Arabidopsis thaliana: one gene and its partner. The protein of the gene in region 1 interacts with the protein of each later gene in a pairwise test. Each region holds a gene or a part of one and is shown on either strand. Other genes may lie near its edges.

The links.
Region 2: the proteins of petD (region 1) and DAC interact in a two-hybrid assay, tested with the Arabidopsis thaliana proteins (one study listed by BioGRID).

The regions. Positions count from the first base shown.
Region 1 is NC_000932.1:74,222-78,172, reverse strand, and holds petD (cytochrome b6/f complex subunit IV), read right to left. Parts: upstream 1,693-3,951; coding exon 1,685-1,692; intron 976-1,684; coding exon 501-975; downstream 1-500. Other genes in the region: rpoA (RNA polymerase alpha subunit), read left to right, coding at 1-272; petB (cytochrome b6), read right to left, coding at 1,881-2,522, 3,327-3,332; psbH (photosystem II protein H), read right to left, coding at 3,467-3,688; psbN (photosystem II protein N), read left to right, coding at 3,793-3,924. UniProt on the Arabidopsis thaliana protein: Component of the cytochrome b6-f complex, which mediates electron transfer between photosystem II (PSII) and photosystem I (PSI), cyclic electron flow around PSI, and state transitions.
Region 2 is NC_003074.8:6,141,413-6,145,250, forward strand, and holds DAC (uncharacterized protein), read right to left. Parts: upstream 1,899-3,838; 5' UTR 1,835-1,898; coding exon 1,738-1,834; intron 1,643-1,737; coding exon 1,497-1,642; intron 1,408-1,496; coding exon 1,318-1,407; intron 1,220-1,317; coding exon 1,061-1,219; intron 976-1,060; coding exon 895-975; 3' UTR 713-894; downstream 1-712. Other genes in the region: AT3G17920 (Outer arm dynein light chain 1 protein), read left to right, coding at 1-19, 160-320, 396-611; AT3G17940 (Galactose mutarotase-like superfamily protein), read right to left, coding at 2,295-2,917, 2,999-3,106, 3,203-3,329, 3,572-3,621, 3,715-3,832.

The DNA of each region.
Region 1 (3,951 bases):
AGAACAATCAACATCAAGTTACTTTACCCTTTTTTCCTTTTCATAATCGATTAGTTAACCTAAGAAAAAAAAAAAAAACAAAAGAACTAGCCTTTCAATATATTTTTATTGACCAATTAGAATTGCCTCCCAGAATCTACAATTGTCTCAAAAAATCCAATATACATACATTATTGGACCTTTTGAATAACAGTCAAGAAGACCTTATCAAAATTGAACATTTTCACGTAGAAGATGTAAAAAAGATATTAGACATTCTAGAAAAAAAATAGAAAAAACATTTCAAAAAAAATTGACTAAGACTAAAAAGTCAATTTGAAATTGAAATGGATTTTCAAATTTCAACGTAATTTCTATTTTCCAGTCGAACCCATTTTAATTAATTAATTAAATTAATTAGAATTAGATATGTATCTAGGGAGAATTCATTTGGAAATGACTACTCCCTAGATACCTCCCTAGATACCCACGTCGTTTATTTTACAATTGAATAAATTGAATTAAAAAAGACCTAAAGTTAGAGATTTATCAATCGGTAATGTTGCTCCAATACCTAACCACAGGGCCGCCGCGGTGCCAATCAAAAAGACGGTTGTCGCTACTGGACGACGAAATGGATTTTGAAACTTATTAACATTTTCCAAAAAGGGTACGGTTAATAATCCCGCTGGTACTGAAACCATTAAAAGAACACCCAATAATTTGTTAGGCACTGTACGAAGTATTTGAAATACAGGAAAGAAATACCATTCAGGTAATATTTCCAAAGGAGTTGCAAAAGGATCCGCAGGTTCACCAATCATTGATGGTTCTAAAACCGCTAAGCCTACGTTACAGGCAATGGTACCAAGAATAACTACTGGAAAAATATATAAAAGGTCGTTGGGCCATGCGGGTTCCCCGTAATAATTGTGACCCATACCTTTAGCTAATTTAGCTCGTAATACAGGATCATTCAAATCTGGTTTTTTTGTTATTGGGATAGGTGAATTCTTATGGATCCATCCCCCGAGGGAACCGGACATGATAATTTTTTATCATCCGGCTCGAGCAAGAATTAACCAAACTAAATGAATACATACAAAAAATATAATTTAATATGTAAAAATTAATTATCCGATTCCAAAGTTATTGCAACTAAAGATTCAAGAAATTCCATTCTTACAGGTAAATGCTCAACACCCACGTAAGCTTAAAAAGTTTATCATGATTAAGTGCTTTCTGGGTCGTCTCATACCTTATAAATTCGTCCTTAATCTCAACAATTATATCGAGATTTTTCAAATACAAAGGATTTACTTGTTACTAATGGAGTCTACCCTCTACTCTTCATTAGATCCTGTATTCACTCCGATAGTATCATAAATCGAGTCGATGCAGAGAAAATGAATGCATTTACATACTATTACTATTAATAATTATTTTCTTTTTTTTTTTTAGTCCAAAATAACTAAAAACATAATCAGGATTTTGTTCCATCCCTTAATCTACTGGATTTTACGGAGCCCACTCATCCACGACAGCGTCGGGTACGATCATAGAAAAGATTCTCTTCAAGTGAACCAGCCTATCCCCTGTATGGGGCTTACACAGTGGTTGGAACAAAGACACATTTGGTTGTGAATTCCAATGTAGCAGATAAAGTAATATTTCTGCACGGCCCGATCAATAGTTCAAGTCACACACTCCCATAATCCATTATCTCTTCATAGAATTCCCTTCAACTTTTTATGTCAAAAAAATAATAAAATATTGTGGAGTTGAAGGGAAATATCCAAATACATGTTTTATTTTTTTAATAATCCATATTTATAGCAATAAAATACTATCGTTCCTTCACCAAGTAATAAGTAAGTACAAATACCTAGAATCTATATTATTTATAAGGGACCAGAAATACCTTGCTTACGTATCATTAGGAAATGCATTAACATAAAGACGGCCGTAAGAAGAGGTAATACAAAAGTGTGTAAACTATAAAAACGAGTCAAAGTGGATTGTCCAACACTAGCACTTCCGCGTAATAATTCTACAAGAGGTGATCCTATTACCGGAATAGCGTCAGGTACACCTGTTACAATTTTGACCGCCCAATAACCAATTTGATCCCAAGGTAAAGAATAACCTGTTACACCAAAAGATGCGGTCAATACACCCAGAACCACACCAGTAACCCAAGTTAATTCGCGAGGTTTTTTAAAACCACCGGTGAGGTATACACGAAATACGTGCAGGATCATCATTAGGACCATCATACTTGCCGACCATCGATGAACTGATCGGATTAACCAACCAAAGTTAGCTTCAGTCATTATATATTGAACAGAAGCAAAAGCTTCAGTAACGGTTGGACGGTAATAAAAAGTCATAGCAAATCCCGTAGCTACTTGTACTAAAAAACAAGTAAGGGTAATTCCGCCTAGACAATAAAATATGTTGACATGCGGAGGAACATATTTACTAGTTATATCATCTGCAATCGCCTGAATCTCAAGACGTTCTTCGAACCAATCATAAACTTTATTGAGATAGGTAAACCAAGGTTACTCCCCCTCCAAGAACTGTATATGAGAATTTCATCTCGTACAGCTCAAACAAAAAAAGACCCAAATACTGATTGAAACAGATATGGAATATAAAGTTTTAAACTTGTCTCTCATTCAATATTATTTTTTATTATTTAAAGATATGAAAGAGTCAAAATGCGAAAGCTCGTCTTTGTGGTTAAATGCCAAAAAATCAAGTAAGCTCATTCGTCTTTATGTTGTGTTGATCGTTACAGGCCTCTTGAATCTTCTAGATTACCTATCTTTATTGTCTTTTTTTATTTGGTATTTGTATGGAACGGGGACAGGGATTTCTTCTTGTTTTCTTTATTATTGATAGGAATTCTCTTGTTAAGACCCTACTTAACTAATCAATTGAAACCTCAGATTCATACGAGAACCACGATAATTTAATGAAACCTTCAAAGTCCAAAGTTCACTGAGTGAGAACCATTGGATCATCACTTATTCAATAAAAAAAAAGCTATAATGACTAAAAACATAAAATACAAAGAAGCGTTTGTCCTTTGATCCAAATAAGAGTTTAAAAGCAGAAAATTTTTTTGATTTATTAAAGTTTATAAGATAGAACGGAAAGAAGTCCGGCTACGAGGTTTGAGTATTTAAGTATGAATCATAGTTCGAATACTTTGTGATCTATTTGATCTATTTCGTGCTCCAGATACTCGAATGAATATCCGACGAAGTAAAACCATCTTGATAAAGATGACAGACCCCATTCTCTGTACTATCCATAGGGTCAATTCTAACAAGTCACACACTCATATTCCGGAAATATACAATGCAGAAAAAAATTTCGCGGTCGAACTACCAAAGGAGAATAGGCTAAAATTGTTAGACCTGCATACTTTACTTTTTTGTATCGAGCTAAAAGCTAGAACTTCAAGATTCTTCTCAGTCTAATTCACTGAAATTCCATCCAGTAGAACAGAAGAATTATAAATCTCCAAAATAATAGATAGGAATACCGCAAATAGAGCCATTGCAACACCCATCAAAGGGGTCGTTCCCCATCCGGGAGCTACTTTACCATATTCGGAATTCAATGGTTTCAATAACTTCCCTACAGTAGTGCTTCTTGGACCAGATCTAGAACTATCTTCAACAGTTTGTGTAGCCATAAATCTTATTTTGTATTCATTACGATCTGTTGACTTTGTATACCATTCCGTTGTAAATAAATGATCTTAGCATAGATCCGGTGTGGTCTTTCAATTCTATAATAATGGAAACAGCAACCCTAGTCGCCATCTTTATATCTGGGTTACTTGTAAGTTTTACTGGGTATGCTCTATATACTGCCTTTGGGCAACCCTCTCAACAACTAAGAGATCCATTCGAGGAACACGGGGACTAGTTAACGTAATCAGCCTCCAAATATTTG
Region 2 (3,838 bases), on another chromosome or scaffold:
CAGAGCAGCACTTTTGGAGGTATATTATTCTCTCTTGTATGAGGAAGCTTTATTTCTCTTAATAGGGTTTGACAAGCTTATAAGTAATTTGATTCGAGCAGTATCAGCACTGATCATTAACTATAATGTTAATCAATTTTTTTGTGTTAAACTGAACAGAAGTGTCATGGCTTCCACGGTCACTCTTTGTGGCGGGTGGACATCTTTTCATATGCAATGAAGACTTCAGGCAACTGAGTTTTCTGCCAACAGATGATGCTTCTTCATCCCCATATTTCTCACTTGACTCAAGCTGCTCCATCTCCGACATATTTGAGATGGTAACAAGTTTGTTTATTCTTTCCCTTTCTCTCGCTTATGTCAGTTTTTTATGTGCAAATTGGGGTGTTATCCAGGTTGTTGAATCAAGAGGAAGCTCGTGCTTGTCACTGAAGGTCAAGCAGAAGGATTCCACATTTCAAAGCAGCCAAAAGAGGACAGTGAATTCAGTAACATGGAAGCTCAAGTTACTCAGCCCTGAGTGTGTACCCAAATTTGTGGCTCTAGTAAATGGACTTCACCCAGATTCGACAGAATTCCCATTGTTCGTAAGGCATTTGGGTGAGAGATGAGCCGTAAATATTTAGAACTTGACATTTGTTCATAACTTCAAATTCATTTGATTCAATTTGTTCGTGAGTTTTGATTCATCTTGTATAAAGCCCTTGAGGGTCCTGTGGTGTGTCCAAAATATTCTTCGATTTGTATATTTTTAGTGTGTATCGTTCATACAACAAACAGCAAGGAAGAAGAAAGAAAATCAGATTAATATCTAGATTTTTACTTTGAAAGCCTGTGCTATTCTTCGTTTTACAAACTTTTGCAGGTGATGTAACAGTAACACAATGGAGGAACCTACTCAACCTTGGTCTTCTCTTCATCAACCTGTGCCATCAATGCCTCTAACTCTGCCTCCGATAAGCTCTCCAATCGTTTCTGCTCATTACCAACCAACCAAACCAAACTTATGTTAGGTAAAGTAGATAAACCCTGATAAAGAGATTAACGAAAAAGCAGAAACCTGCATGACTTGAGACTCGTAGTCACGAAGTTGCTGGGCATAAGTCATCTCCTTGTTACCGACTCTAAAGATATAAGTCGAAATCCAACCCAAAGTCAAACCAAGCACCAGTATCAGCTGTACTGCATTCCCCGCTTGCAACGGATCAACTCCCACATACTGCACCATATCATTATCACAAAATGAGTACTCAGAAGAACAAAGAAAAAGATAACAGATTCATTTGATATCATCAGTATGTAGATAATGAGAATTACCTCAAGTCCACTCTCTAGCCCGATACCAAGTGCAGTCACTCCCACTCCTATCAATATAACATCCTTCCTCGTGTAACCAAACGGCGTCGTCTATAACCAAATTATTTCACAACAGAGTTTGCTTCAGGACTACTACGACGATAGATTATGATGTAAATTCAAAGAGATGGAGTGCAGACCTTGGTTTTTGTAGCAGAATCGTCTTCAGTTTCAGTAGAGTTTGAGCTAACTCTACATCTCATTCTCTGTTTCTCTCCCTTTTCTACTGATGATGACAATCTATGTCCCTCGAATCTATATAAGACTTTCTTCGCAGCTCCGAATCCTGCATCATCACAACAAACACAGGAGAGTTTTACAATCGCTTCAGCTTGAAATCCTTAAGTTTTATCGAAAACGATTATTGGGGGAGAACAGAACCTGTGGTTTGTCGCCCAACCGGAAGAAGCCTTACAGACGCAGACAGAACCTCCTGATTTCTGCATAGATTCGAAACTCCGAACGGTAAAGAAGCCATTTCTGTGTTTAAGCCACAACACAAGCCGTGGTTACTAGTGAAAAAAATAATGAAACAAAAATTTAAGGGAGGACGAAGAGATTACAGAGATGGATGGTTGATATTTTTTGGGGCCCATAGGCTTTTGCTTCTTTAGTGGCGCGTGTTTCTCACCGCCCAAAAGACATGCGTGTAGACATAATTGCCATCAGAATTACTCAAATACACTAATTGCTCTTTTTTTCCAAGTTCATGTGAACAATGGGAGATTCATTCGCTGCACAATTCACAATTTCACAAATGGGCCAAATGTTTAGAAGATATGAAAAAATAAAGTAACTTTAATATAATGTAAACAGTTTGGTTTTATTATTCTCCCCCAAAGAGATAAAATTAAAATCACTCTTTTTCCAGCCCAGTGAATCAAATGAACCGGCCCTTTATTCCCATCATCTAACACCTAAAACGTCCATCTATAAACTCAAGCTGAAAACTCAAACAGCATCGTGTGATTGTACTTCTCACCAGCCTTAACCACAACAGACGGGAAATTCGACTGGTTAATCGCGTTCGGGAATCCCTGCGTCTCAAGGCACACACCCGCATGTTTCCCGTAAACCGCATTCCCTTTCCCAACCACTCCATTCACATAGTTCCCGGTATAAAACTGCATTCCCGGCACATTGGTCCACAAGTTCAGTACCCTTGAGCTAGCAGCATCACTGAGCTTCGCTGCGTGTTTCAGCCCCTCCTTCTCTTGATCAGGACAGTCCAACACGTAGTTATGATCGTATCCGATACCAACCTCTCCAATAGACTCGCCTATCCGCTTCTCCTCAGTGAAATCGAAAGGAGTTCCCTTTACAGGCAAGATCTCTCCTGTAGGAACTGTGTATTCGTCAACCGGCGTGATATGAGACCCCCATATCTGAATCTTATGGTCTAGAATGTTTCCTGAGTCATGACCTGCTAAGTTCCAGTATGTATGTTGAGCTAAGTTGATGGGAGTATCTTTGTTCTCTGGAACAGCTTCCATGTCAAGTCTCATTGTCGTGGCTGACGTGAGAGTGTATGTCGCCGTGACAGAAACCGCACCAGGGTAACCTGTGGAGGGGAACCGCAAAACATTATATAGCTAATCTAATCCCACAGAAATCAAATGCTAGAGAAAGGATATGTCATTACCTTCTTCTCCATCGGCACTGTGATATTTGAAAGTGATGAAAGGTTTTTCGCCGTCTCTCTTGTGCCCTGCAACTTCCCATATCTTCTTATCGAAACCCTTGTTACCACCTGTACAGATAGAGTAACATTTTACGGTCCAAATCCTATTTAGTTCACAGAAAGTTATAGAGAAAGTATACAGAGAAGAGAATTGTTTATACAGACCGTGGAGACTATTAGGAGGCTTGTTGATAGGCAAAGTGTAGTTAACTCCATTGAGACTGAATTTTCCCTCCTTGATCCGATTTGCCACACGACCAACAATGCACCCAAAGTATGGTGCAAGCCCTTTCTGTAACAATCATATTCATAGATAAAACACACATATTCATTAACATTGTTACAAAGTCCATCTTATTTTGATAGTTCATCACAAAGTCATTCAACAAGGTACATGAATGACCATATACATTTCTTAAATTATGATTCAGACTCTATTCATGAGATCCAGAGGCAGTGATTAGAGTTTCGATCAGATTGATTGAATCTATGTCGAGATCAGTTCAAGGATTAGGTGAATTCGAGAGAAATTACCACATATGGATCCACCGAGTCGAATCCGAGAACTACATCCCCCAGTTTCCCTTCAAATAAGAAAAACAAAGACGATAATCAGAGGATTAGGATTTGGAGACAAAACAGAGATCATCATTGAAAGGAGGAAGAAGAGAACAAACCGTTCTTGTCGGGAACAGACAAAGAGGTGATGGTGGTGCCGTAGTTTGAGATCTTGACCTGCATGGTGCCATTGTTGAGCTCGAAGATCTCTGGAGTGTTTTTGCTCTGATCCGCCATTAGAGG